Astyanax mexicanus: one gene and its partners. The main gene of each other region encodes a partner of the protein of the gene in region 2 in a complex. Links are inferred from orthologs where the notes say so. Each region holds a gene or a part of one and is shown on either strand. Other genes may lie near its edges. The genes, in order: med18, med4, med23 and med8.

Region 1 (6,901 bases), on a different chromosome or scaffold from region 2:
AACTTCGCGGGTGGAATTGAGACATATAAATGTTTATCCCATAATGTCCAGAAAAAGAGAAGTTGATGCAGACGGACGGCTGTGCTTCAAGGCGACCGGTATGCCTTTTGTGTTACGAAGAGTGTTACTGACCAAAATAAACGCTTTTTAGGAGAGATATAAGTTCTGTGTAAATATTTATAAGACAATAGCTGACAAAATCTGTTTTAATGACGTTAATAAACATCACTGGGACAGCGCTAGTCGCAGTTTCACCGCAGCAAAGTACGAGGACGTGAATAACTTATCTAACCAGCCTTTACTAATTTCTGCCCTCAATAACCCTTTCAATAACCTCCAATAGCCTTTAATAGTCTTCAGTAGCCTTCAACAGTCTAACCTTGCAGCCGTGGTGTGTCCACTAAACTCCGTAGTTATAAACATCCTGAGGTTAGCAGCGCGATAACTGACCTGTTTATAATGTAATCACAGCAGTGACTCATGCTCTAAACGGCTGCTGTTAGCTGATTGGGCTGAAAGATGAACTGTAGAGAGCTGTATTATTCGGTTACAAAAATCTTTATTTCATACACAGAAGAACTTAAAATTTTTAAAAACGCTCCAGACTGGCTGAGCTGAGCCCTGTAGCCCGTGGCTGGGCTGTAGCTCTGACTCAGTAAAGACTGCGGACTTGTGGTGCTGCTGCTGCAGCTCCCACTAGTGGTTGGATGAGGAACTGCTAAATCTGAGGAAATGCTATGTTCTTAACAGCTCACAATTTTTGATTTTATATTTATTAAGCCTTATTTCAGTTAATAATTTCAAAGTTAATATAACTTGATGTCATTTCTATTCACTTGAATAGTTTGGTTCTTGATTGATGGAGTTTCATGACATGACAAATTAAAAGGATTTATGTTAATAGAGCAACAAGCAAACATTTTTTCCATGCAACTGTAATATTTGATTGAATAAATAATATATTGAGAGTTATTTAACATTAAGGAGTAATTACATTCATTTACATATATTACATTTGGTTACATTTTATTACATTTATAAGTTACATCTGGCCCTCGGAGGACAGCCAATATGCCAATGTGGCCCTCGGCCAAAATGAGTTTGACACCCCTGCTGTAAGACATCTTCTAGTTTTTTCTCACTCAGTTGTGTTTGCAAAAAGACAAAATCTCCAAATTTGCTTTTTAAAATTTCTGGGAACACAGGAAGTAAGAACTGTAGTTTTTTTCTGGGCCCAGTTCTAGTAACACTGATGTTTTGACCTGTAGCCCAGTGGAGATTGTATTTGCCTATTCGATCATATTTATGAGCACATAAACCAAAGTGTATGGCACCAAAGCAAGAAAAACTTACCAGTTTGCTACCTTTCTTAAATAAAAAAAACAATACAATAAAGTTTACATCACTTGTTTACTGAGGTTAAACAATTTCAGCAATTTTACCTTTGAGCTGGCACCAAAACGTGCTGCTTAACTTTTTAAACACTAAAATGACTAAATGCTATATCATTCAAGTGATATACATAAAATTGGCATCAAACAATGAATAAAAGCATTTGCAAATGCATGTCATGTATTAATGACATAACATGTCAATCCATGTGGGTGGAGCTTCAAAAACTCTTTTTCCATATAGCATGACAAATATGGTGCAAATAGATAACTGTGAGGTGATACATTTTAAATATATATATATATATATATATATATATATATATATATATATATATATATATATATATATATACAGCTCTGGAAAAGATACCACTTAAAATTATGTGTTTCTTTGATTTTACCAAATTGAAAATCTCATAATCAATCAAGAATAGAACATAATCAAGAGAAAGATGGATGATTACAAGCCATATAAATGACAATATATTTATTTGGATTTTGGTAGAAATGTTGTCCATAGTTTATAAAATAAAACAAAAATGTTCATTTTACATTTAACATGTACCTATAAATAGCAAAATCAGACAAACTGATTCAGAAACTGAAGTGGTCTCTTAACTTTTTCCAGTGCATTCATTTCACAGATTTGTTTACACAATGTTAGTGAATATCAGCATATCTGAATGTATGGCATAGTAACTTTCAAAATCCCACCCCCAACATTTCCACACACACACACAGACACACAAGTGCGCTCAAACATACACATACTCACATAAACTTAAACCTATACAGAAACATGAATCTCCAGGTAAACACACACACAGGCATCCACACATAAGCAAATATACACACATATGAGCACACACATACATATACACACATATAAGCAAACACATACACACAAGCAAACACTGGAGAGTAAAAAAAGCAAACTCACCAAGACATGTATGCAAGCACTTTTTCTCTTATGGGTGTACTTACTTTTGGTAACAGCGATTTAGACATAAATAAATAGCTGTGTGTTGAGTTATTTTGAGGGTGCAGCAAACGTACACCGTTATACAAGATGTACACTGACTATTTTAAATTGTATCAAATTGGCATATCTTCATTGTTGTCCTATGAAAAAGTAAATATTAATAAAATGAATTAATAACTCACTTCTGTTACATACTGTATTTTTTAAGCCCATCTAACCTTTAAAATGACATTATTTAAAAAGAACATTTGTTTGATCTTCTATACTTAGTCATAAAGGAGTCACACACTCACATTGTACGGCATGCAATGTTCTTTTGAAGAACAAGATAATGTCTTAACATTGAATCAAGAAAAGATTTAACATCACATGATTTCAAAGCAAACTGGATACAAGTTGCTTAAAGTAAATACTGATTGATTTATGATTGATAAATGAATACAGATTATTCATTAACAGTCTATCATATTGAATGCCCTGCAGAGGGTGGTGAAGGCTGCACAGGGGATTGTTGCCTCCCCAGCACCATGGACATCTACACCTCCATACAAAGGAAAAGGGCCACCTGCACCACCCACCACCCTCTCTTTATGTCCCGCTCCAGGCAGAAGCTGCATCAAGTACAAAACAACAAGACTGAAAAACAGCTTAATTCCAGAACTGCACTGACAAATCATATTGCTGCTACTCTCCAACTCTCCTTTATATTTTGTGTATTTATCTTTATATTTTCATTTTTTTATATATATATTTTTTTATCTTTATATTTTATTATTTATATTTACTTAACAATTGCTCCTTTTTGGTGGAATTGGACCGTGAGTTTATTAATTTTATTCCACCTGTACCACATGTGATGTGAATGACAATAAAGTCTCCTTGAATAAGATTATCACGTGAAGAAAAGAAAACAACAGACAAGCTCACTCACACACGCACAGACATACACATATAAATGTCTTGGTGCTCTACTGATTGTACTGGTCTAACACACATGCATGCAAACACACACACAATATAAAGTAAAACACCAAGGTTTATATGATAATTCCTGAAATTTAATATGGCGCAACATAAAATTTGCTTATGGACTTAAAAATGTCACTTCTTCATATGTAACATTTCTTCTTCATTTTCTTCTGTATTGGTTGCTTTCTTTGTTTTTTTTTTGTTTTTTTTTTTTCGTTTTTTGTTAAGATTGATTAATTTGCTATTTTCCTGTACATTACAATTATATTGAACTAATACAACATTTAATATATATATATATTGTAAAAGTTTACACGTTTGAGGACATTGTGTTGTGCTGTTTTTACAAATTTGGCAACCCAAATGTACGCGCATGCGCAAAGCCTGTACCTCTACAACGAACAGAGTTGCCAGTTTCGCGGTTTTTCAGCCAAATTGGGCTTGTTTCAAAATCCACTCGCGGATGAAAATTTAGGGGTGGCGGGGTGCATTGTTTGGGCTACTTTTTAAAAATTACCGCGCTCGCCAAAAAAGTCACAAAAAAGAAAAAAAAACACACAATCTAACCAGAAATCACCCCGCGATGAAAAAAAGGTTAAAGAGGATAGAAGGGAGTTCAGGATGGGAAAGAAACATAAATGAGTAAGTCAAGTTTTTTTTTTTTTGCTAATTATGTTACTATTAAATGTTCTTGTCTGGGATATAAAACTGTTATGAAAGAACTAATAAAACACAATAATACAAAAAAAATACAATACAAAAATACAATATTAATGACTTTAAGGTAAATAGCAATACTGATAATAAATATATTATAAATATAAAATACTAAGTCGTAGTTGTTTTGCCATTTGCGTCGAATGTAAGACAGAAATATTTAATATTTTGGGCTAGGTTAAGCTTCTGAAGGCCGGGATTTAGACTGACTTTGAGTATTTATGGTGGACCTGGCAACCCTGACAATGAAAGCGCTAGCAGGCTAAGCGACAACAGAGTGCACAGACAGCAGTGTTACACAGCCGGTCAGTCAGATAACTGACGGTTAAGACGTTATAGGCTGAATATTTCACGCTTTCCTCTTTACACAGAGCCGGTATGTGTTATATTCAGAGCTGGGTTTGTAGTATTTGTCTATCTTTCTGAATTATTTACTTGTTTCGTTTAGGCCTCGTCTTTCTCACACACACCTCCAGTGCAGTGGCGCCACTGTGCTGTAACATTTGAGTAACACACACACAGAGACAGGCACACCAGGACCTTTTAAAACACTAATTTACCAAAATAAAAAGTATTTAACTGCTAGTTTAAATGTTACATTTGTTCCTGGTTTATTTAAGGGTAGTATATTAATAACTTAACTAGAGTTAACGAGCTAACGCTAACTAGCTCATCGTGACCACAAACAGCCTTTGATTACTAACCTGTAACCTAGCTACTTTAGGGTCACTTAATATTTATCTATCACTCTTTTATCTAGTTAACCAGCTAACCTACGTTTATTTAATGCTGTACTTAATGATGTTTTTAATTTTTCACAGAAGTAGTAGTTAACTAGCTGTTTGAGTAATGGGAGCCCCGCCAGTCACCGTATATATACAGCTCTGGAAAAAAAATAAGAGACCACTTAAAAAGTTTTTTTTATTATTATTATTTTACCAAATTGAAAACCTCTGGAATATAATCAAGTGGAAGATGGATGATCACAAGTCATCAAACCAAGCTAAACTGCTTGAATTTTGCAGGAGGAGTGGCATAAAGTTATCCAAAAGCAGTGTGTAAGACTGGTGGAGATCATGCCAAGGTGCTTGAAAGCTGTGATTAAAAAACAGGGTTATTCCAACAAATTTTGATTTCTGAACTCTTAAAACTTTATGAATATGAACTTGTTTTCTTTGCATTATTTGAGTTCTGGAAATTCTGCATCTTTTTTTGTTGTTTCAGCCATTTCTCATTTTCTGCACATAAATGCTCTACATGACAGTATTGTTATTTTGAATTTGGGAGAAATGTTGTCCGTAGTTTATAGAATAAACTACCTATAAATAGAAAAATCAGAGACACTTATTCAGAAACTGAAGTGGTCTCTTATTTTTTTTATATATATATAGATAGATAGATAGATAGATAGATAGATTATTATTGATTATCCATTGGCTGACACTGACCACGCTACATATACTTACTATATTGTTTTAAGCTATATATTTGTGTGTAAAACCCCCAAAAAATGTGAAAACCAATTTTTCAGACACCTTTCATTTTATTGTTTGCTCAAGCTAACAAACAGCCTTTGATTACTAACCTGTAACCTAACTACTTTCGGGTCTAGCACTCTTTTATCTACTTAACTAGCTAATTTAACCTACGTTGATTTAATGCTGTGTTTAATTTTTTTTACAGAAGTTGAAGGTAACTGTAACTCCCCGGGTGAGTGATGGAAGCCCCGCCGGTCACCGTGATGCCCGTTACCGGGGGCACGATAAACATGATGGAGTATTTACTGCAGGGTAAGATACTGTCTGTTTTCAGCTGTCGATCCCGTTTCTCCGCTGTTTCAGCGAGGCATGGTCATTACAATGATTCCAAATGATTATCAACAACCGGGTTAAACCAGTTGTATCGTTATGAAGCTTCGATACCTGTACCCACGCCGCCATCTAGTGTTTAGTTCTAACTTTTTCTGAAGTTTAACTTTCTTTCTAAACTCAGATTTTCATTTACAAATACACTTTAACTACAAAACGGATAGATGTACACATGTGATCTTTAGCATAACTGGGAAGGGATGGAACAGGGCTGTGTTGAAATGAACAGCTGCAACCAGCTTAAAACTAGATTTGTACAATTATTGTAGAATATTTTGCATTTACCTTTTTCATTCCAGGCAGGTTATTTTGATGATTACATGTAATTCCATTTACATATTTGTAGAGGTGGGCAATGGGGCCCTAAAAGTATTTTTGTGAAAACAATATTTTTGGCGATGTGACAAAATATTTGGATAATAAAATAAATTATTAAAAAAACACTGTTGCAACAAAATTATTGTATTTGATTTGCCAGTATTATTGCATAGAGTATGATATGGCCAATCCCTAATTGAGGTTGAAACCAAAGGTAATGATCTAACGTGTTACAATACTATTAATGCGCTCTATATATTTAGGACTGGTTTGAATCTTTAAATTTTAGCGATATTGGAATTGTTTTTTTTTTGTGAATATCTTTTCCTTTTCCTTTTTTCCCCAAGAACAAGTACAACATACAAAAACAAACAAAAGTATAGAACAATTAAATATTTTTTAAAAAGAATTATCAGCATCATTTGACTTGGTCAACACTGTTTTGATGATCTGTAGTATTACTTTATTATTACTTTATCTGTAGTATTACTGTATTTCTGAAATTAATACTGTATTCTGCACTCCATAGGCAGTGTGCTGGACCAGTCCTTAGACAGTCTCCTCCATCGTCTAAGAGGTCTGTGTGACAACATGGAACCAGAGAGCTTTGCTGATCATGAACTAGTTTACCTTCTTAAAGGTCAGCAGGGAAA
Region 2 (7,442 bases):
TCCTGGACCATACTCAAATTTTATTAGTGAATTTGCTGACTTTCTAGCAGCAGTAATTCTTCTTTCTGATAAGATCATAATTGTTGGAGACTTTAATATCCACTTTGAAAAGGACCAGGATCCACTAAAAATTGCATTTAAATCAGTTTTAGATGCTCTAGGCTTTAAACAAAATGTAATTGGCCCCACTCACCGATGTAGTCATACATTAGATTTAGTTTTGACACTGGGTATTGAGGCTGAGAATATAGTTACTCTTTCTCAACATGACTCAATATCCGATCATTATCTAATTATGTTTGAAATAGTTTTTAATCAAAATATCCTCCTCCCGCCCCGCTATATCAGCAAGCGTAAAATAACAACCGCAATTGCTAATGAATTTGTAAATAATCTCCCCGACTTAACCATCTCCCTTCCGTCCTATGAGCATGATCTCGAGCACAAAACAGAAAATCTACAAACTGTGCTCCGCTCTAACCTTGACCGCGTAGCGCCGACAAAAATAAAACAAATCAGGGATAAAAAGCTAGCACCGTGGTATAATGACCACACACGTACATTAAAACAAACCGCTCGTAACTTTGAACGTAAATGGCGACACACAAAACTAGAATTTTTCCGGCTAGCATGGCAGCATAGTCTCACAGACTACAAAAAAGCCCTAATTAAAACAAAATCCCAGTATATTTCATCGCTTATTGAGAAAAATAGAGACAATCCTAGATTCCTTTTCACTACTGTGGCTAAACTCACCGGCAGTCAAAAACAAACTAGCTCCGTTATCCCTGTCGACATTAATAGTAATGATTTCATGAAGTTCTTTGATGATAAAATTAATAGCATTAGACAAAAAATTCAGTATCACCCCCAAAATTTACTTATAGATATTAATGAATGCTGCTCCAGCTCTGAGACACACCTAGAGTGTTTCAGCCCGGTTACAGAAAAAGATTTACTTAGTGTAATTAACTCATCAAAATCAACATCATGTATATTAGATCCAGTACCCACACAATTATTGAAACAGGCACTGCCAAAGGTGGGAAAATCATTACTAGAAATAGTAAATTCATCCCTTAGCATGGGCTACGTACCCAATTCTCTTAAATTGGCGGTCATTAAGCCCATTATCAAAAAGCCAAATCTGGACCCCCGCGAGCTTGCTAATTATAGACTAATTTCTAATCTTTCCTTTATAGCCAAAATCCTAGAAAAAATTGTGTTTAACCAGCTGCGCTTGTATCTACAAAGTAATAGTATGCATGAGGTTTTTCAATCTGGATTTAGACAAAACCATAGTACTGAAACAACTCTACTTAGAGTAACTAATGATTTACTTTCAGCTCTTGATAGGGGCAGTAATGCCATCCTTGTACTGCTAGATCTAAGTGCTGCCTTTGACACCATAGATCACGCTATTCTACTTGATAGGTTAGAAAATCTTATAGGAATTAAAGGATCAGCCCTCACCTGGTTCAGATCTTATCTGAGAGATCGATTCCAGTGTGTTTACTTAAATAACGAATGCTCTTATCAGTCTAGAGTAAAATATGGTGTCCCTCAAGGATCAATACTGGGTCCATTACTCTTTACTCTTTATATGCTACCACTGGGTAAAATTATCCGTAGGCATGGTATTAACTTTCACTGCTATGCTGATGACACGCAACTTTACATATCTGCTAAACCCAACGAGGAGCTCTGTACAAATCAAATAACAGACTGTATTAAAGACATTAAAAATTGGATGACACACAACTTTCTCTTACTTAATTCTGATAAAACTGAGGTCCTTCTATTAGGTCCTAATATTGATAAAAACATAAATGTTAATACTGTAGACATAGACGGTCACTTAATTATACCTGGTAAAACTGTGAGAAACCTTGGGGTCATCTTTGACCCAATTCTTTCGTTTGATGCTCACATATGTAGCATAGTCAAAATTGCATTCTTCCACTTAAGAAATATAGCTAAAATCCGCAGTATACTCTCTCTGGAAGATGCTGAGAAGCTGGTACATGCATTCATAACCTCCAGGCTGGACTACTGCAACGCGTTGTTGGCTGGAAGTCCACATAAATTACTCCATAAACTCCAGCTAGTTCAGAATGCAGCCGCAAGAGTGCTTACCAGAGCTAGAAAGTTCGGTCACATTACACCTATTCTTTCATCCCTACACTGGCTACCTGTTAAATTTCATATAGATTATAAAATACTTCTCCTGACGTATAAATCCCTCAATGGTCTGGCCCCGCATTATCTACAGGAACTCCTTACTCCTTACAATCCGCCGCGTTCACTCCGCTCTCAAGACGCTGGCATGTTATTAGTCCCGCGTATTAGAAAAAACTATGCAGGAGGAAGAGCGTTCTTTTATAAAGCTCCCCAACTTTGGAATAGCCTCCCTATTAATATACGAGACTCAGACACACTCTCAATCTTTAAATCTAGACTCAAAACATTTCTATTTGCTCAAGCTTTTGAGTAATGTCTCATTACAATTTTCTTCCTCTTACAGCTTATCCAGCAAATATAAACCCTGTCCTAATCATCTGCTTTCTCTTTCTCTCCCCATGTCCTGAGCTGCTGCTACCAGTGCCCATCCCACTCCAGCAGAGTTTTATAAAACCATTCTAACCCCTTTTTCTTCCCTCCCCTCTCTGTTCTCTCTCTCTATCTTTCTCACATGTGCTGAGACGCCTGGCCGGCCGGTCTTCCTGGATGTGTCCGTCTGTGGTTCCAGCTTTCAGGAATCAGCCCTGTCCTTCTACTCATCAGAATTATTACACAGCCTTTCTAACTCCTGCTTTTTGTTTCTCTTCCTTTCCTTTCTGTTTTCTCTATCTATCTCTTTTACATGTATGGAGATGCTGTTCCTGATGTTCCCAGCCTGGCTCTCCACTGCCCGCTGTGTTGTTCTCCGGCTCTGCAGCCCTGCACTGATTACCATTAACACACTCAGTATCTGTTTCTGTATTAGCCATAGCTCTATAGTTTGTGCCCATCACATTCTTATATTCATAAATTAGTACCTGTTATATTAGCCATAGTTCACATTAATTCTCTGTACTGTTTTTGTTCTGTTTGTTGTTTGTTGTTTGTTTGTACTGAGCGGGTCAACCCGAGTAGGATGGGTTCCACGGACTGAGTCTTGGTTCCTTCCAAGGTTTCTTCCTCTTAAAGGGAGTTTTTTGCCACTGTGTCACCATAAAATTTAGTACTGCTGTGAAATCTATACTCTGTTTTGTGTTCTGTACACATAGCATCTAGGTTCAGATGATTAAAACATTTAATACATTTAATAAAACAATTTATTTTCTGTAAATGTGTTTTTTTTGTCAATCAAGATTTACAGTGATCTGTAAGATATGTGTTATATAAATGTTAAGATGATTCCAGTCAGAAAGAGTTTTTTATAGTTATTTATTCTTCATATCAATCAGTCAACCTCTATATATATGTGGAGCATCTTTTGCTGTAGTGGAGAGTAAACAGCTGCTCTGAAGTTCATGCTCAGGTCCAGGAGGTGAAAAAAGGACAGGTAGTTTGCTTTTGCTGTTTTATTTTTGCAGCTATAACTGCACAGCTGCACCAAGAGATGCAGTGTGGGTACGAGAGAGAAACACGTAGCGCTAATGCTAATGCATAAAAGCAAAAAGACGAATGAATTCAGATTTGACCGTTCACATTCATGTTGCATGTTGCATGCGTGGATACGTATCTGATTTAGGATTACATATGAAGGTGAATCAAATCTGATTTGAAAAAATCAGATTTGGCACATTCACACAGCCATGAAAAAATCAGATCTGAGCCACATAAGTCAGATGTGAGTCACTTCAGCCTGGTAATGTGAACGTTAGAGGTGGGCAACAAAATACTTTATTATCACAATCAACATTTTTTTTAGAAACAATAGAACAGTTAAAAACTGTTTTTTTTAATAGTTTTACCACTGATTTGCTTTCTTTTAAATCTTGTTTTGTTTTATTGTACAACACTTGATGTCTTTTAAATGTGCCTATAAATAAATTGACTTGACTTGACTTGAAATCAAAGTTTGCCTTAACATTAGGAAAATAAATATTTTTCAGGTTAAAAAGGAGCAGCCACTATACAAAAATAAAATAAAAATTCTCCCCTCACTAGACATCTTTTCTAGTTCTTTCTTTTTTATTTCTTTTTTCAAATAGAATTGTTCTTAGAAAAAAAAAACAATAAAATAAGGAATTTTCTTTCAGTGCAATTCTATTTTTTTCTTTTACATCCCAAAAATATTAAGGTGGTGTTTCTCTCCATACCTGTTGTCTGATTGGCTGGCTCCGCTGAACCTCGTGACTCTTAGCAACACCAAAAGATCCTCCCTCCGCGCGGGGGCGCTGTGATTAAAGCTCTATTACCCCCCCCCCCCCTCCTCCTCTCTCTCTCAGTGTGAGGGGAAATGAGCGCGATGGCGGCGGGGGAGAGGAGCACTAAGGAGAAGCTGCTCTCTGCGCTCAGTGATATGGAGGTTTTATCGCGGTGAGTGATAATACGAAATTAATCTGAGGGATTATTGATTATTTATCAGATGTGTGATTATTTATTCCGCTCTGAGAGACACAGAGAGCGCGCGGGACTGTTTACTGATCAGCACTTCTGCTCATCCCGCCTGTTTTCACACACCTCTGCTCTGATTGGCTGGTGGCGTTTATGTCTCATAGCCTCGATTGGTTGGTAGCGCTGTCATCAAATATTCCGCCGGTCTGTTGCCCAATGAGAGCAGGCAGGGGGCGGGACCTGTCTGAATACGGGTAGAAAAGAAATTCTAGTTGAGCGGTTCTGTTACTGACTGCTTGTATTCTATTTTTCAGAATTAAAAGAAATAAAAAAGAATTTATATAATATATAAATAACTTATAAACTATTGTAAAATAATAAAATAATTAGTAAATCGATTATTAGTTTTTTTTGTCCCTCATAAATAAATAAAATGAATGAATGAATAAAAGCTTCCCATCAGTACAGCAGCTGTTCTGGCTTTAATGTAAATCAGCTTAGTCGATTCGTTAATCAGGCTAGATTTTAAGATTTTAACAGAGTTCTGTTTCTGTTTGAGTTTGATGGTTTCGCTCTTTGATTCTTTTTTATTTTATTTTATTTTTTTTGCCATTTTTAATTGAAGGCCCTCTTTGCGTGTGCAGGCTTCACAACATTAATCTTTGTTTTTGTTTATCGGGCACCACTTTTAATTTATATGAACAGATCAGATACTAATAAATTCACTGAAAATTACAAAGTTTATGTACTTGCAAAAGTGTATACTTATCATGTTTTATAATGCTGGACTTTTGTTGGAAAATTATTTATGAAATTCTACCCTGTAAGAAAGAGTATAAGTTCAGACCCAAAAGGGAAAAACCTGCTGTTGTATAATATCTGTGTTTTTTTGTGTTTGTTTCTGCAGAGAGCTGATAGAGATGCTCGCTCTGTCCCGAACCCAGAAGCTCCCGCAGCCCGGAGAGGACACTCAGGTACAGTGTGTGTCTCGTGTGAAAATTAAAGTTTGATTAATGCACTTTACAGATATTTATTTTAGGTTTGATTCTGGGATGCTGTAGTTTGTGGAAAATGTTATGATATTAAACTTTAATCATTAACTTTTAGATGAACATATATTTAAATGAATAGGAAATTAGAAATCTCACACATTTATTAAAAATCTTAAATGAACTGATGATTTGCATAAAAGTCAGCATATTCTATATTCCATAAACATCATATTAAAATATTTGCTTATATAATTTTCTCCTGTTTTGTAAATATTAGTAATTATGTTTATTGTGTTTAGCAGCAGTTTTTTGTGCTTTGTCAGATTGTGTTTATATATGGTTTATATATTGGTGGTGTATACGCAGGTGCTGGAGCTGCTGGTTCAGAGGGATAAGGAGTTTCAGGAGCTGATGCAGACGGCGGTGGAACAGGGCAGGATCCATCAGGAGATGCAGCAGCTGGAGAAAGAAGCAGAAAAGAGAGACAGTGACATTCAGCTGCTGCAGAAACAGCTGAAAGAGGCCGAGCACATCCTGGTGAGGCTGATCTTCAGTAGTGATGTTCTTGTTTAATATTCTTATTTTAAATAAATAGTGAAGTGATCTATTAGTCTATGAAGGAACACACGAGGAATCATGTAGTAACTTAAAAACAGTGTTAAACAAACTAAAACTTTTTGGTACTACATTTAGGTTCTTTTATCTGTGGAGCTTTTTTTTTGACTGCTAAAAACACAGACATTAAACATTTCTTTATTTATCTTTATATTATATTTATATTATATCAGGGTTTATATAAAATTGAATATCTTCTCTCCTCCAGGCGACGGCTGTTTACCAGGCCAAAGAGAAGCTCAAGTCCATCGAAAAGGCCAGAAAAGGTACTAAAATTCAGTTTGAACACAGCAGGAACACACACACACACACACACACACACACACACACACACACACCACTGTAATATTAACACTGTGTAATAAAATACAGTAACATGCCTAAATTAATGGGACAGCAGTATAGATATTAATCTTGAGGAGTTACTTTAGAGGATTACTTGGGAATTCCTGCATGTACACGTTGTGAGGTGCTATCTTGTGGGTGAGGTTGGACACTGGCCCATGTGCTCAGTGATGAGACAAAGTGAGTGGATGTTAAACATTCCACAATCTCTATCTAGGCCATAGAAGCCATTACCACCTACAGTAGACAGCACAGTGACCGGAATTATCAGTGCAAACAGAGAAGCGCCTCAGAAATCACATCCACATTCAGTGCAGGAGATCCCACACGTATACAGGATCCTGCAGGTCAACATATCATTTAATAGTGTGAGAAAAGTCATAGGCGATATCAATCAGTGTATTATTTTTATGATGAACACTTTTATAACATCACAGTTTTATCTCCCTTTCACTGGACTAGTTTGTTTAATATAAATACTGATTAGCTGTTGATTATCCGTCTCGTTTGTGATCAGTAAATGAAGAGTCTCTGCTCACACTTCCTCTGAATTAATGATTGTGTAGCTCTGATTAAATGTTTGGTTTAATAATAATTTGTTTGTGTTTATTTTGCAGGCAGCATCTCTTCAGAGGAAATAATTAAGTATGCGCACAGGATAAGCGCCAGTAATGCAGTGTGTGCTCCTCTTAACTGGGTTCCAGGTATTAATTTTATATATATATTTACTTCTTTTTCCTTATTTTTCCATCTCAAGCATCTTTTGCTGTTTTGCTGGGTTCACACCGGCATAATTCTTTTTAGTGTTTCCCCACTTTTTTGTTTATTGCTGTTTATTATAAAACCCATCGATTTACGACATTTAACATGATTTAGGATTAACTTTAACTTCAACAAAATAGACTCTCAACTAAATGAGCATGGATTAAGTCCTCCCTCTTCTTA
Region 3 (7,161 bases), on a different chromosome or scaffold from region 2:
GAACTGTTATTCTACGTTTTTTTTTTAGTTTTTTTTTTTTCAGTTTTTTTTTTAGTTTGTTTGTTTTATTTATTTATTTATTTATTTTACATTTTCTTAAGTTTTCTTTATATTTAAACCTATAATAGACAAATTGTTCAATGGTTCAATAGATATTTAGCTTTGTTTTATTTATTAATTTTTTTAGCTTTGTATTTAGATTTGTTTTATTTTATTTTTATTTTTTTACGTTTTCTTAAGTTTTCTTTATTTTTAAACCTATCATAGACAAATTGTTCAATGGTTCAAAAGATATTTAGCTTTTTATAAAGAGGCAGACACTGTGGAGGAGGTGAGTGACAGGCTATGTGGTGAATGAGGTGAGTGAATGATTGAGACTTTGTGAATTAAATTAAGGGATTTCTGTTCGTGTTACACTGAAGGCACTTTAATATTTATACTTCTGCTCTGTAAATACAGAGCGGGGTCAGTCAGCGGCGGCTGTGGGCACGCGCGATTCATTTACAATGTGTTCGTGGAGCGGTGTGTGTGTGGGACAAAGTCGCTAAGTTGGCAACACTGGACAGCGGGGATTGTGCTGCTGCAGCTCCGACTAGTGGTTGGATGAGGAACTGCAGCTTCCTGTAAGCGAGCAGTTTCACCGGTTTCACCAGTTTCATCCACACACAGCTCTGATAAACTGCTTATCCCTAAACTCCTGAATCAGATCGGCTAAAATCAGAAGAATATCTGCCGATCGCCGATACCGTATTTGGCTGAACATCGTCTGATACCGATACACTGCCGATCGATCGTTCCATCTCTAGTTATTTGGTTTATGTGTGTGTTTTAAGAATGAGGGCCCCAAAATGGCTAGATCCGCCCCTGGCTGCTTTAACAACTTCAGTCTGAGGAGAGTGTGTGATATTTAGGAACACAGTTAGCATCATGCTAATTGCTGGTTTATAAGCTTCCTCTGCATTAATCTAGCAGCTCTAGTGTAACTAATCAAACAAACAAACAATATTCGGAGAAGTTGTGAAAATCTGACATTTGATTAAATCATTCCTTTAAGGTCAGGGGAATAACATAAACATGTCACTGTCAATAAATGCCTCACAAATCATCCAACAGCAACCACATTTCAGATAAAACAGACACCATGAGAGCTTTTCAGTCAAGTATGTATTGCTGCAGACTGGAGCACCTCCAAAGAGGAGGGGCTTAGCTCCAAATGGGACGTCCACAGCTCCAAAGGGGAGGGGCTTACCTCCAAGTGGGAAGTCCATCAACAGTATACAGCTCGACTGGGAGCGCGTTTGTGCGCGAGACCTCTCTCACCACGGCTCCGACGAATGTCATAATAAAAGTCTTACGTGATTATTATTATTACTATTATTCTATTACATCAAATTTAATGTTATATAGAATGTACTATCACATCATATTATATTATATTATATAAAAATCTACATCGTAAGGCAGGGAGACATCACTCAACACAGCTCCATTTCTCTGCCGAATGCCACAACAAAAGTCCTCCGTGATTAAAAGGCTCATGGATGTCAATAAATATATTAGTCAACAATTAATGATTATTTATATTTCTTAAATGTCAATATAATAATATACGTGTAGTGTGTATGTATTTATAATATTATTGGCTATGAATAAACAACTGCATTTATTATTTAGATCTTTACTATTTTATAATTTGAAAAATTCACAGCATGGCAAATGTTTAAAGGTTTTAAATAAATAAAATGTAGTTGCAATGTGCACAACATGCTTTTAGACTCTTAGAAAATGCATTTTAATATAAACAAACATTTAATAAACGAAATAGATTAATTAATTAACCTTTGGGGTTATTTACAAGCACAAAACGTTGTAAAAAACACCATGCTGCGTAACATCAAGCACCATCCTACTTGGAGGTAGGCTCCGCCTGTTTGAAGGGAATGTTCCTCCCCTTTGGAGGTGCTCCAGGCTGCAGCTATACCCTTCTCTTTTCAGTAGCCAGCCTACTGACTCCACTGCAAAGCGGTCATGTTTTAAATCCGACCTGTGGTGTTTACTCTGGGGAAGCACTGCCCCCTAGTGTTGAGCATCACTCACCACATTTTTTTTATGTATAATATTTATGTCATTGCTCATGGTCTTTATAGAGCCACACGATGTTCATTATTTTAAATGAAAGCCTTTAACACCATTGATCATATTTTGTTGACTGGAATATTTGTTTTTAAAAATGGTGATGAGTCAGCAGCCAAACCATGCAGTTTCCCTTCACACAAAAAAATATAAAACACAAGTATATAAATAAATAAAGATATAAAGCCTCTTTTGTTGTGGGACAAATTGTGTTGATAATAAATATACAGAACATTAGTTGTTATTATGTTTTAATTCTTTGATTATTTCTAAATACAAACATATAAATACATTAAACTGTGCAGGACAAATTAGGCTCAAATTTTGCTGGAAGGACAAACTAAGGGGGGGAAAGGGAAGAGTTCATACAAAGTTAAAAGGATCCACTGTTGTACAGGTTAGCTGTATTTTTATAAAAGTAAATTGATTAAGGATGGCAATGTCGTTCAAGAAACAACACATATAGCTGCATGTTGTTTACAGCTGATGGAACTTCCTGTTGTAGATGTGACTTGTAGAATATTCTCAGGGGTCACTAATAGGCGGACCGCGGTCCGGGTCCGGACCCAGACATTGTCCAATCCGGACCCAAACCAATAAACTACTGAGAAGGATTTAATTCTGACAGTGTTCATTTAAAGCGGTGGAACTTTTATTGTTTTTATGGTTCACGTGCTTTGCGACGCATTAAACTTACACCCCAATCACGTGTGCTGTAAGATCAGCAAACGCTCTCCTCTGCCAATCAGATCTGTGCATATGCGGGAGCACGGAGCCACACAGGCGAAGCAGGCGGTGAGAAATCGGAGAATAAAGCGAGAAAATAAAAAATAAATTAAGATGATAATGTAATGTAACCGAGCAAAACAGTCCACTTTACTCCACCTGATCAGAACTCCCTCGTTCGCAGGCGCTCTCTCTACTCCCGAAACAACCCTACCTTAAAACTAAGGCAACCCCCAGAGGACAAAAAGCATTGACAACTCCCCCATCAGTTTTACCCACAACATAATAAAGTCTGATACAGTACTAATATTAAATACAATAAAACTGCTGTTTTTAAACAAAGCTGATACAAGTTCAGCAAACATTTCTCCATATATTGTATGATTTGTCATTCATGTAATTATCATGACAGGCAGGCCTAAATCTAATATAAATAAAAATAGAATAAATATATAGCATTTTGAAACAAAGTTAACATACAGATTCACATTAATAGACTCGATAAGTTAAATTATTCAGGGTGTTTTAATTTATTTTATGATAGGTTGATAATGTAATTATTGTGACAGACCTATTTACAACAATACATATTGTTGAAATGTACTAGTATGTGTAATTTGTAACACTGACAGAACTACAAGGCTTCTTCAGTGTACAGGATATAATACTAAATCATAACGCAAGTTAAAAATGGCGAAGGTCCGGACCTTGGCCTGGCAAAATTTTCTTTAACTGGACCGTACTGAATTCTATTTAAATACCCCTGTTCTAGATGTTTCAGATGGGGTATTGTGTGACGGTAACAGGAAAGAGTGAAAACCAGGGACACAAATAAATGTGTATTTTAACTTTATGGATATAATATATGTATATTATGGATATTTAATATTATGGATTTATATGGAAAATATTTTAAAGCATACATGGGACTTGAAGTCACAAAGCAATGCAAGAAAATTACATGTGAAGGATTTTAATAATTATATTTTATGGTAAAATTTATAGAGAGTGGGGACAGGTAACAAATGCTATTTTTTCAGTGTTCTATATATATATATATATATATTACATATCTTACTTTTGCAATTAGGTCAAGACACTATGCTTATTAATAAAATGTATTTTAACGTTATTTTGTGTGCACATTTATATATGTCATTTCCTGGAGACAGAAATGGCACAGATTCTGTGGAATATGCCAGTTTTTTGTAGAGAATAACGAGGAGGAGGAGGAGTGTTTTTACTGGATCCGGAACCCTGGTTTGGGGCTGCTGGAGGATCAGGAGGGGGGATTGTTATTGAAGCTGCGCGGCGGCTCCGCTGTAGGAGGAGCGGCTGATCATGTATCTAAAGCAGAAATTAAACTAAGTGTAAAATATTCCGGCGCTTTTTCTACGCTGTGAGGGTTAAACCATGGCGGTCCCGATGGAGAGTCAGCTGCAGAGTATCTTTGAGGACGTGGTGGTGCGTGTTTGTGTTTCTGGAGCTGAAACGGAGAGTTAGAGTCGCTTTAGCCGAGCTAGAGAAACTAGCCCTTATCAGAAAAACTGAACTGATTTAAACTCCCCCAACTTTATAACAGGAGCTCAGATATGATTATCTATAACTTCACTGTATTAAGCATTCCATTAGCTCCTTAGTAAACGGGGGTTAATCTCCACGCTGAAAGCTGTATGAAGAGTTAGCTAACGTTAGCTAGCTTAGCTTTTAGGTTAGCTAGCATTAGCTAGGTTACCATTGTCTTCTCTACGATGCTCTCTGAGTTAGCTAAATGACGGTTAAGGTTCAGATAAACCATTCACTTACCGAGTTTAGCTAACGTTATCTGAACATAACCTAATTATCTCAGAAAATATGGAGTAAAACCAGAAGCAACAGTTAAAGTGTTCATGTAGCTTGAGGTAGAATAAATTGATTTAAACAGCCTCAGAGAAAAATACACTTATTTTGATCAAAATTAGGCCAGCTACACCACAGACACACTATATATATAACCTATATTTGGCCATATCTTAAAATCTGGAGCCTGATTATTAAAAATAAAATGTGCAGAGAAACGTTGTAAAGTCTGCAGTTTTGGTTTTGACCTCCACCTAAAAAAAGTGTGATAGATAGATAGATAGATAGATAGATAGATAGATAGATAGATAGATAGATACTTTATTGATCCCTGAGGGGAAATTCTACAAAATAGAAAATTATAAATGATGTCACATTTTGCTTTGCACAAAATCCCCCTCTGTCATTGTGATACACAGATATTTTACTTCAGTTAGGGCTGTGGCATATTGTATCATATTTATTAATATCGTACAAATGTGAGACTATAAAAACTGAATATCGTGATAATAGCAATATTCTTGAAAGCAGTCTTTGTTGCAGCAGTGTATTCTTGATCTTTTTTTGTCATTCCAGACTATAGTTATCGCAAAAATAGATTGGATTATGATGATAATATTTTAAAGTCATGTTGCCCACCCCTGACTGATTTTTATACAAATTAGAAATGTTGCTGTTATACACTTAAAAATGGAAGATAACACCAATTTCTTGTGTTCATAAGATTATTAATGTCTTCGTTTTATGTAATTCATAATCAAAGCTTTGTAAAAATTCATGTTTTTTTTTTTTACCCCTCAGAAAACAGAAGTAATTGAGGAGGCTTTCGCTGGGTATGTGACAGTATACATTGAGTTTTTACATCATACAAACATTTGTGGTTATGTGGCATGTTCTTCTAAATTAAGTATAAATTATATTTCTATAACTACAGGATGTTTATGGACACCCCTGAAGATGAAAGAACCAAACTTATCAGCTGTTTAGGAGCATTCAGGCAATACTGGAGCAGTCTTCCTGAGGTTAGTTACACAAAAACCTGTGCCACTTTGCCCCAGGGCATTGTCTTGTCCTTTTATTAACTTTTAAGTATATCATGGGGCATTATGCAGTGCTGCTCTTTTCTGCAGGAGTCCCATGAGCAGTGTGTGCAGTGGATCGTGAGGTTTATCCACAGCCAGCACAGTCCAAAACGCATCTCCTTCCTCTATGACTGCTTGGCCATGGCGGTGGAGACCAGTCTGCTGCCCCCCAGGTACTTACATGTATAAGACAAATTACACAAAACTGTAGTGGTAGAAGTAAGGCTAATAATAAAATTTAATAAAATAAATCTAGTTAAAAAAAAAAATGTTTTATTGATCTATGAACACAACAGACTGTTAATCGATTTTAGTGGTGTATTGTGAACTGTGTGTAAATAATAAAAAATATTATGATGAATATTATAAATAATATTGTGTGTTTTTGTGTTTATAGAATGGTCTGCCAGGCTCTGATCAACTCTGATTCTCTGGAGTGGGAACGCACACAACTCTGGGCTTTGACCTTTAAACTCATTCGCAAAATCATCGGTGGAGTTGATTATAAGGTACAGTGGAATCTTCACTTTATATAAAATTCCAGAATAATTGAATGCATTAACACTTTAACATTCAAAAAACTAGTTTTGAGTATTTGCCTATGGTCTCATTTTGTGTTATGCGCTTTAATAGTTAGGGAATAAAAACACAGTCGAGCGGGGGGCATATGTTTTGTTACCAAATACTAACACATGTCTGTCTCCAACCATTTACTAAATGTTAACTTGGAAGTGTTAATCTGTTGTTAGATGGCCTAAAACATAACCACCTGTTTTGTGTTCTGTTGCAGGGTGTGAGAGACCTTCTGAAGGCTGTTTTGGATAAAGTTCAGACCATCCCCAACCTGGTCAGCTCGGCTGTAGTGCATCAGCTGCTGCCTGTGCGAGAGGTATAGTTCAGTGTAGCATGGAATAGCTACATCTTTTATTACAATACATTTACGATAAGTGATATTGAACAATAAAGGAAGAGCCTGGTTCTGTCAGCTAGGGCTAGCCAAGATAGACAAGATAGCCCCAGAATAGACAGTCTTAAAACTTTTAATAGCCTGTTTAAAACTCACAAATCATTATTACTATTCAAAATCATAGCATGTGGGACAAGTTAGTTTTTTTTGCTGTAACATAAATATATTTCTGGGATGATTATGAAGCCCTTTGTGGTCCAAGTCAGTTGTGTTGAAATGTGGAAAGCAACATGGGCTCTTCTTTTTGGTTTGAGAATAAGGACCACTGTATTTATATTAATAACATGGATCTCTGTTGTTGTTGTTGAAGGTGGTGGAGTACATCCTGGACAGGAATGCTTGTCTCCTTCCAGCTTATTTTGCTGTGAATGAAATCCGGAAACTCTACCCAGAGGGACAGCTCTCACACTGGGT
Region 4 (7,987 bases), on a different chromosome or scaffold from region 2:
GGTGATTACTTTGGTGAATGACATCAGTTAATTTTAGGTTGCTAGGTTGTTGTCGTAATTAATTTGTGTGTCATTTGTTACCTGCGGTAGAGTTTGGGGGGAGGAGCTGAAGGGCTAGTATCCCCTGTCGGACCATACTGACCAATCCCACGTCTGCAGTTACCATGGAAACACCCTGCTTCCTCTGCAGATGCTCCTCCATGGCATCAACGGCAAGGGTGGAACAGGTGCAATCACACTGAATAAAAACACAAACATTTAATTCATGTTGTTTCAATCCATTTAAAAAAAAAACATTTTTTATTCATCACTTTTTACAACAGACATTGCTGCTTCTTTATTAGTGACACAGATTTCAGATAATTTCACAATGCAATTTTTTGCAAAACTAATGTTTTAAAGGTATCCTGTCTATTTTTATTAGTTTGCAAACCTAAAAAAAAAGTGTAATAATGCGCTGTGTTTATATTATCTAGCACTGTTCTAGACTCTGTTCTGACTGTTTTCTTGATTAAAACAGCATTGACAACATCAACAAGAGTGAGATCTGGTTGGTGAAACACTTGCCTGGTTATGCTGCTGCTGTAAAACCTCAGCGATGTTGTTCTCCACAGCGCGGAGCTGCTTGTAGATCAGATGTAGAAACTGGTCCAGGTCTGCTGTGCAGTCCAGCTGGCTTCCCTGAACCAACACCTGAAGAACAGGATTAAAATTTAAACACAAAGCCTCAACACAACAACAAAAATAAAACAATAAAGACGTTTTATCACAATCACAATAAAGTACTTCTGAGATACTGTAATCTATCCTTAGCCATATAATTTGTCTCCTGCTATACAGGATTTAAACATTTAATCAATCTAGAGAGCCTAATCTAGTTTTTGTATACTTTAATTAATACTTTATTTAAGTTTAGTATGTGTTTGATCACTGTCTATCTTGATATTAAGTGTATTAATGACTACAGCTCTCAGAGCACCTTAAATAAAGCTTATCTTGCACTTACAACCTGTGCCCACCTTAAAATAGACAAATCATAGAAAAAAGCATTTTCTGCAGGAAAAGTAGATTGGTTGCACAGCTAAAGTGGTTTCCAGTTGTTGCAGTGATGTGGCTTGGTAGCTGCCATGGTCAACCATTACTAGGTGGTTGATCGCAGTAGAGAGAAACGTGTGTCATACTGAAAGTGTGATGTCATCCGCTCTTAATCCAAGTGATTAGAGGGAAGTGTGATGTAATGACCTGGTGTGAGCTGAGGCCGACGATGGAGGAGTATGCCAGGATGGTGATGAAGATTTCAGGCTGAAACAGGAAGTCTGTGCCGGGAATTTTAAACGGAGCAGCCAGTCCAGCCAGACATCTCGAGAGGGCATGGAAGACTTCATCAAAGATCATCTCGCCTGTGCTGTCATCCTGCACAACACAGAGAATCACAATCACATCAAACGTAAGGAAAAAAACAGCCTATTATACTGCTGTAGCTTTACATCACTGACTAAAATATATATATATATATATATATATATATATATAAGTGGATTTTACTACCCAGATGGTTGATACGTCTTTCCTAAATGGTTTCCATTTGTTGCTAGATATTGACTATCTCAGGTGGTTGTTAGGTGGTTGCTATGGTATCCTAGATGGCTGCTAAGGTGTTGCTAAGGGGTTGCATTCCTCGGTGGTTACCATATCTTTCTTAAATGTTTGCTCAGGTGGTTGCTATGGTGTGGCTGAGAGGTGTCGCACAAGGTACGGTATTCCATGTGGCAAATGCTATGCTATGCTATGGCACCTAACAAGTGCCATCATTCACCGCAGTAACCACCCAATAACAATGACAAAGCTGCTACATGTAAGAGGTTCTTGGCTGGTTGCTATGGTGTTGCTATGTGAACACAAGATGTGTGCCATAATGTTGTGAAGAGGATTGTCATGGCATTCAGCTGCAACTGTTCATACAATAACCCATATGGTCGGTCAGGTGTTGGAAAAAAGCTAGTGTGATACCCCATATAGATAGTTGTTACCATAGCACCCCATTCACTTTGTGATCTCCAGGCGCTGCATATTAATACAATAATTTAAATTGAAAATGTGAGACTGCTGCTCCAGCCTTATCTTTAATCAAGGTTTGCACTAAACACACACACACACACAGTTTAATGAAGAAAAAAAAAAGATAATTAATGGAGTTAGAAGATTAATGGATGGTTTGAGCCAAACAAGCAACTTTACCACAATCCCGGTGGAGGGGCTGAGGTCCAGCTCAATGATAAAGCGGTACCGCCGGGCCAGGAAGGTGACCCGTGTGGACGGCACCAGCAGGTACGGCATGGAGGTGTGAGGAGAATCCGGCTGCCATCCTTTTGGCAGAATACTGAGAATATCCAGTTCATTCTCTGATTTGAGCTACAAGCACAACATATTTTTCCTGATTACTGACATTTATTTACTCTTTTTATCTAAGTCTATTTAAATCAGTAATAAATGTAATATACTGTATTATCAATTCAAACATAACACCCTGAATGTGACTTTAAGCCAAAATAAGGAGTACAAGTAATTACTGTATGCTTTAGAATGTGCAAAAGTGCCTCTGTAGAAGATGTACATTAATTTTTCATTTAAAATAAAAAAATATGTAACTAAATTGTAATGTATCCTAATTGCATAGGAATTGTGTATCAAAAACAATCCATAGCACATATTTATCATAGCATCTTTAATATTTATAGTTCATAGTTATTTTTTATATTTCACTCTATTTTCGCAATATTTAAATATATATCATTTAAATAAATGATGTTATTTCTATCATGCAGCCCTAACAACAAATTACCTGTAGGCTAATCTCACGTAGGCCAAGCATACATACCATTTCTATTCTATGCATTTTAACATTATCTATCAAAAACATTAAAATAATCAAATATGACACAGTGACTCTATTCAGTACCATTCTGCCCGATCACGTACCAGCTCAGACTTTGGGGACGGCCGGATGACCTGGTTTAACTTGCTGAGGAACCAGGATAGACGCACATTTCTTGATATGTGGTAATCTTCTTTCATCAACAGGTAAACCTGGTCTGCCTCCTCCACCTGCAGAGAAAACACAGCCAGGTTTTTACAAAAAAAAAAAAAAACACCACAGATATGTTCAAGTGCAGCATCACAGACAATTATGATTTATATGATCACTATAACAGTGCTATTGTTTAGGTTATGTGTTTATTCTTTTTGTAAAAAAGAATAAATAAGGTGGGCCTCCACCTTATTGTAAACACAAGCTTAAATAAAGATTAACACCAAATAAAGAGAATTAACACCAGCAAATTAGCAATACCGTATCACTAGGCCTGCCACGATACCAATATTTTGTGGAAGATATAGTGTCCCGGAAACTATTGCGATAAACAATATTACAGTCATTTTAAGACCATTCAAATGCCACTTATATTATATATAATATATAACTCACCCAGATTGAGAAATAACCCCCAGTTATCCACTGCAACACACCAACCACAAGTATTTAATGGTCATAATACAACTATATTAGTGTTTATCATGATCATTTTTCTGGAACAATATATTGTGACAGGCCTAAGTAAAAGTGTTAAAAACAGGCGGTGAAGGTGAAGAGTACAAAATGAGGGCTCTCTAAAATAAGAGCACACCTCTGTAGCTAACAAATCTATAACGAGACTATTATAAAGGTCAGCTGATAAAGAAAATAAACAAATAGCAATTTATCAGGCAGCTGCAAGTCACTGCATGAACCAGTGGATTAAAAACTGTTATCTCTCTTCACATAATTAACGTTATGGGTTTATAGAAAGTAGATTAAATTACTTGAGGGTTCAAATAAATAAATCAATAAATACATGCTTGTGCAGAGATTTACTATATGAGACTTCTTGCTTTTTTTAAAAATCTGAACATTGCAGTGAGATGTGGGAACCACTTTAGGGAGGGGCTGGTAAACAACACTGGCAAGCTAATATGACAGGATATTGTGTGTGTGTGTGTGTGTGTGTGTGTGTGTGTGTGTGTTTAGTGGACTTATATAGCTACTACAACATTATATTTAATTTTCTAAACACTGGTTCTCATCTTTTTATATTTATGTTACTTCTTTTTGCTTTATTCAGATGAAAACTGCTATAAAAAGCTATAAACTGCCTTTCCCATGTCTGACCAGGTTTAGAGTAAATTAGTTTTATAATAAACATCCCCTAAAAGTTAAAATTTATATTTTTCACAGCAGAAATATTAAGTTTTAGACACGCAGAGCTCTGAAATACACTTTCTTTAACTAAGCAGTAACTGACCCAGCCTCTGTAATGATTTATAAATCACAAGACTGTCAGTAAACAAGTTCAGCAGAGCAGAGTAAACACATAAACAGCATTAGCGCGGCTTTACCTCAGAGTCCGGCCTGTCTGCCATGCCTGGTTTCGCATTACTGGCGAATTCTCTGCTTCCCCTTCAGCTTCTGTTAACAGAATAAATTAAATTAGCGCTGCTGGTATTTTTATTTCTATTTATCACCGCCAAGTTCGCCCAGCTGTCTGCAGTTAGCTTAGCATAAAGCTAAACAACTCCTCCGGAGCGCTAAACAGTGAACACCACTAGTGATTTAAATAATGTCAAAATAAAAGTCCTCATCCGGTCAAAGCATATTGAAGTCATATTAAAGCATACAACTCTTGAAAAAAATAAGAGACCACTTAAAAATTATTTGATTTTACCAAATATTTTTATTTTTTTTATTTCAGCCATTGCTCAATTTCTGCAAAAAATGTTCTAAATTATATATTTTTATTTGGAATTTGGGAGAAATTCCATTCATTCATACTAGAGACCAAAATAAGACTTCATCATTTTAAAATGAATGACAAAAAAGATTAAATGAGACATATAACATATTGATAATGGTGATACATGAACGTATTAGAGGGGACTTCTTTTTGTGTTTTGCAAAGCGGGATGTCTGGGCTCTGTGTTTCCGGTATTTCTGGTGTTTGGTGGTTGGGAGCTGCGCTGCTTGTGAATAAAGATGCAGGTAAAACTGAAATATTTTGTAATTTTATTATTTTTTACCGCTTATTAGTACCGTCAGGGTCATTCCTACATAACTTCTGAAGGTGTTATTCGGGGGCTGAATTGATGTTAGTGTGTGTTTAGGCGAGTTTACTGTGTGTAAAAGCGCTGTATGCAGGTTAGCCTGTGTTCCTTAGATTTAATAATAAAACAAGCCTAAAATCTCCTCTTAATTCCACTCTTACTGATATAAACTTTAATTCAGGTTCTCTGTAGTACGTATGATCTCAGATTTTAGCAATACATTGTTAACTAAATGTAATTATGGCTCATCGTAGTTGAACTTCACTGTAAAGAGACCATGTCCATATATCCCCCAAAAAACTTATTGTGACTAATATTAGTAATGGGCGGTGTGACCAACAAATTTATATCAGGGCTTTTATATAGCTGTCTGCCTTATTTTACTGTTAGATGTACATATTAAATAAACATTTGGGCTTTAAATTAAGGGCTTGATTACTATTGGGTTTACTTTGTCCTACAAAATTACACCATAAATATTAATAAAATAAATATTTTAAATAGTTCCATAAACACTATAAATAGAACTAAAATACTTAATGTTTAAGTATTCAAAAAGAGATAATCCTCAAAAGCTCTATTGCACAATTGAAGCCGTTAGAGGCATTACAGTATTAAAATCAGCCACTATTCCCCTTCTTTCTCCAGTAAAAAATATATATTCAATAAATTCAGTCTCTGTTCCTGAGTGAATAATTGCTTCTATTTCACTCTAAAAAAAAAAAACTCATACAGTGAGGAACAGCAGCAGGAGCTCCCCAGATAAAGTGTTTTCTTAATCAATTAGTTTGCCCACTTATTTAGTTAAATGTTTTTGTATAGTTAAATGTTTTTGTATAGTTAAATGTTTTTTGGTAAAATTGCTGTTTTTATCTGCACAAATAAGAAATATAAACAAATGCAGATTTTTGATCACAATAATGCATATATGCAAACCGAATGGGGTTCAAAATAGACCAGCATTCTAGTTTAAAATAAGAGATTTTAACATGTGGTCTGAAAATCGTTTTCTTTTTTTTTTCAGCAAAGAGAAGAGAAGCAGTTGGAGGCGTCTGTGGAGTCTCTGATTTCTCGCGTTGCACATCTGAAGAATTCTCTGCAGAGCTTCATCTATAAGCTGGAAAATGAATATGACAGATTAACATGGTGAGTATCAGGTCATGGCTTACATTACATGTAAATATATACATTAAATAGCCATAGATAACTATATTGCTATTGATAACTGCTCATGCAGATGTGTTTCGTTTATCACAGGCCTTCAGTGCTGGACAACTTTGCCCTTTTGTCAGGGCAGTTAAACACAGTGAATAAACTGTTAAGAAATGAGAAAACTCCATCTTACCGGAACCAAGTCATCATTCCTCTGCTGCTGTCGCCAGATAGAGACGAAGATTTAGCGGTTAGTATCTGTATCTCTTTCTGATATCGTTATGATATCGATATATGTCTGTAAACAGGGGCTAAATTACATCCTAATTTGTGTTCCTTCTATTCAGAAACTCACAGAGCAGAGGGTGCCTGTGTTCAGTCATGAGATTGTTCCGGATCACCTCCGGACAAAACCGGACCCGGAAGTGGAGGAGCAGGAGAAACAGCTGAGTGTAGAAGCTGCCAGGATTGGACCTGAAGTAGCTCAGGTACTGCATTAACAACCATACACTGTACTGTCACATGAGATGAAATGTATTTGAAAACCTACTTCTATGTTGTTTTTGTGTTTCATATTGCTATTGCTCCATATATCAATATTACTTTAATAACTAACTCTGTGTATGTATTAGTGCATCTATAAAAGTAGAATATTATTAAAAAGTTACTGTGTTTCAGTAATTCAGTTGAAAAATGTGAAACTCTTATATTATTTAGATGTATTAAACACAGAGTGATCTATTTTAAGCATTTATTTATTTTATTGTTGATGATAATGGCTTATATTATATACACATTATATTATAAGACCAGTTGGTACTTTTGGCAGTAAGGGCAGTGTGCCAAGTCCTGCTGGAAAATGAAATCCGCATCTCCATAAAAGTTGTCAGTAGCAGAGGGAAGCATGAAACCCTCTGAACTTAATAAAACACAGTGGATCAACACCAGCAGATGACATGTCTCTCCAAACCATCACTGATTGGTGGAAACTTCACACCTCGACCTCGAGCAGTTTGGACTGTGTGTCTCTCCACTCTTCCTCCAGACTCTGCTTCCTTAATTTAGAAATGAAATTTAAAATAAAATTTACTGTTGATCAGTGATGATAATATCTTTTATGAGTGCCCTGCTTCTCAGTGGTCAGCTTACATTTATTTATATATTTTTTGTCTTCCTGTAACAGTACTGAAAACTAATCAGTGGTTTGTTTGTTTGTTTAAACAGAAACAGATCCAGACTATGAATAAACTGTGTTCGAGTCTGTTGGAGAAGCTCAACAATCCTCGTGATGATCGAGAGGCAGAAACTGCAGGTGAGTTCAAAGTTGTGTTGTGTTTGTGGTGTTACCTACAATGCCTTGCAAAAGTATTCTGAACTTGAACTTTTCATCCTTTTGCCACATGTCAGGCTTCAAACATGAAGATATGAAATTGTAATTTTTTGTGAAGAATCAACAACAAGTGGGACACAATCGTGAAGTGGAACTGCTGTTCACAAACCATCCAACCTGACTGAGCTCGAGCCTTTTTTTGCAAGAAAAAATGGGCAAAAACTTCAGTCTCTCGATGTGCAAAACTGATAAAGAGAAAGACCCCAAGCGACTTGCAGCTGTAATGGCAGCAAAAGGTGGTGCTACAAAGTATTAACACAAGGGGGCTGAATAATATTGCACGCCCCAGTTTTCAGGTTTTTATTTAAAAAA

What was found.
Region 1: med4 (region 2) and med18 share a complex: the UniProt entries of both Homo sapiens proteins name them as parts of the mediator complex. The link is inferred for Astyanax mexicanus from reciprocal best matches to the Homo sapiens genes MED4 and MED18.
Region 3: med4 (region 2) and med23 share a complex: the UniProt entries of both Homo sapiens proteins name them as parts of the mediator complex. The link is inferred for Astyanax mexicanus from reciprocal best matches to the Homo sapiens genes MED4 and MED23.
Region 4: med4 (region 2) and med8 share a complex: the UniProt entries of both Homo sapiens proteins name them as parts of the mediator complex. The link is inferred for Astyanax mexicanus from reciprocal best matches to the Homo sapiens genes MED4 and MED8.

The regions. Positions count from the first base shown.
Region 1 is NC_064413.1:34,556,997-34,563,897, forward strand, and holds the start of med18 (mediator of RNA polymerase II transcription subunit 18), read left to right. Parts: upstream 1-3,878; 5' UTR 3,879-3,987; intron 3,988-4,304; exon of another isoform or gene 4,305-4,438; intron 4,439-5,745; 5' UTR 5,746-5,779; coding exon 5,780-5,852; intron 5,853-6,777; coding exon 6,778-6,901. UniProt on the Homo sapiens protein: Component of the Mediator complex, a coactivator involved in the regulated transcription of nearly all RNA polymerase II-dependent genes.
Region 2 is NC_064418.1:243,429-250,870, reverse strand, and holds the start of med4 (mediator of RNA polymerase II transcription subunit 4), read left to right. Parts: upstream 1-4,418; 5' UTR 4,419-4,447; coding exon 4,448-4,527; intron 4,528-5,452; coding exon 5,453-5,519; intron 5,520-5,903; coding exon 5,904-6,074; intron 6,075-6,360; coding exon 6,361-6,418; intron 6,419-7,114; coding exon 7,115-7,201; intron 7,202-7,442. UniProt on the Homo sapiens protein: Component of the Mediator complex, a coactivator involved in the regulated transcription of nearly all RNA polymerase II-dependent genes.
Region 3 is NC_064408.1:41,856,156-41,863,316, forward strand, and holds the start of med23 (mediator of RNA polymerase II transcription subunit 23), read left to right. Parts: upstream 1-4,138; 5' UTR 4,139-4,272; coding exon 4,273-4,323; intron 4,324-5,499; coding exon 5,500-5,531; intron 5,532-5,632; coding exon 5,633-5,720; intron 5,721-5,828; coding exon 5,829-5,953; intron 5,954-6,177; coding exon 6,178-6,289; intron 6,290-6,570; coding exon 6,571-6,669; intron 6,670-7,057; coding exon 7,058-7,159; intron 7,160-7,161. UniProt on the Homo sapiens protein: Required for transcriptional activation subsequent to the assembly of the pre-initiation complex. Component of the Mediator complex, a coactivator involved in the regulated transcription of nearly all RNA polymerase II-dependent genes.
Region 4 is NC_064412.1:54,814,490-54,822,476, forward strand, and holds the start of med8 (mediator of RNA polymerase II transcription subunit 8), read left to right. Parts: upstream 1-4,970; 5' UTR 4,971-5,065; coding exon 5,066-5,071; intron 5,072-6,157; coding exon 6,158-6,279; intron 6,280-6,390; coding exon 6,391-6,535; intron 6,536-6,632; coding exon 6,633-6,773; intron 6,774-7,509; coding exon 7,510-7,597; intron 7,598-7,987. Other genes in the region: KICSTOR complex protein SZT2, read right to left, coding at 82-238, 568-693, 1,243-1,413, 2,239-2,412, 2,980-3,105, 4,432-4,455. UniProt on the Homo sapiens protein: Component of the Mediator complex, a coactivator involved in the regulated transcription of nearly all RNA polymerase II-dependent genes.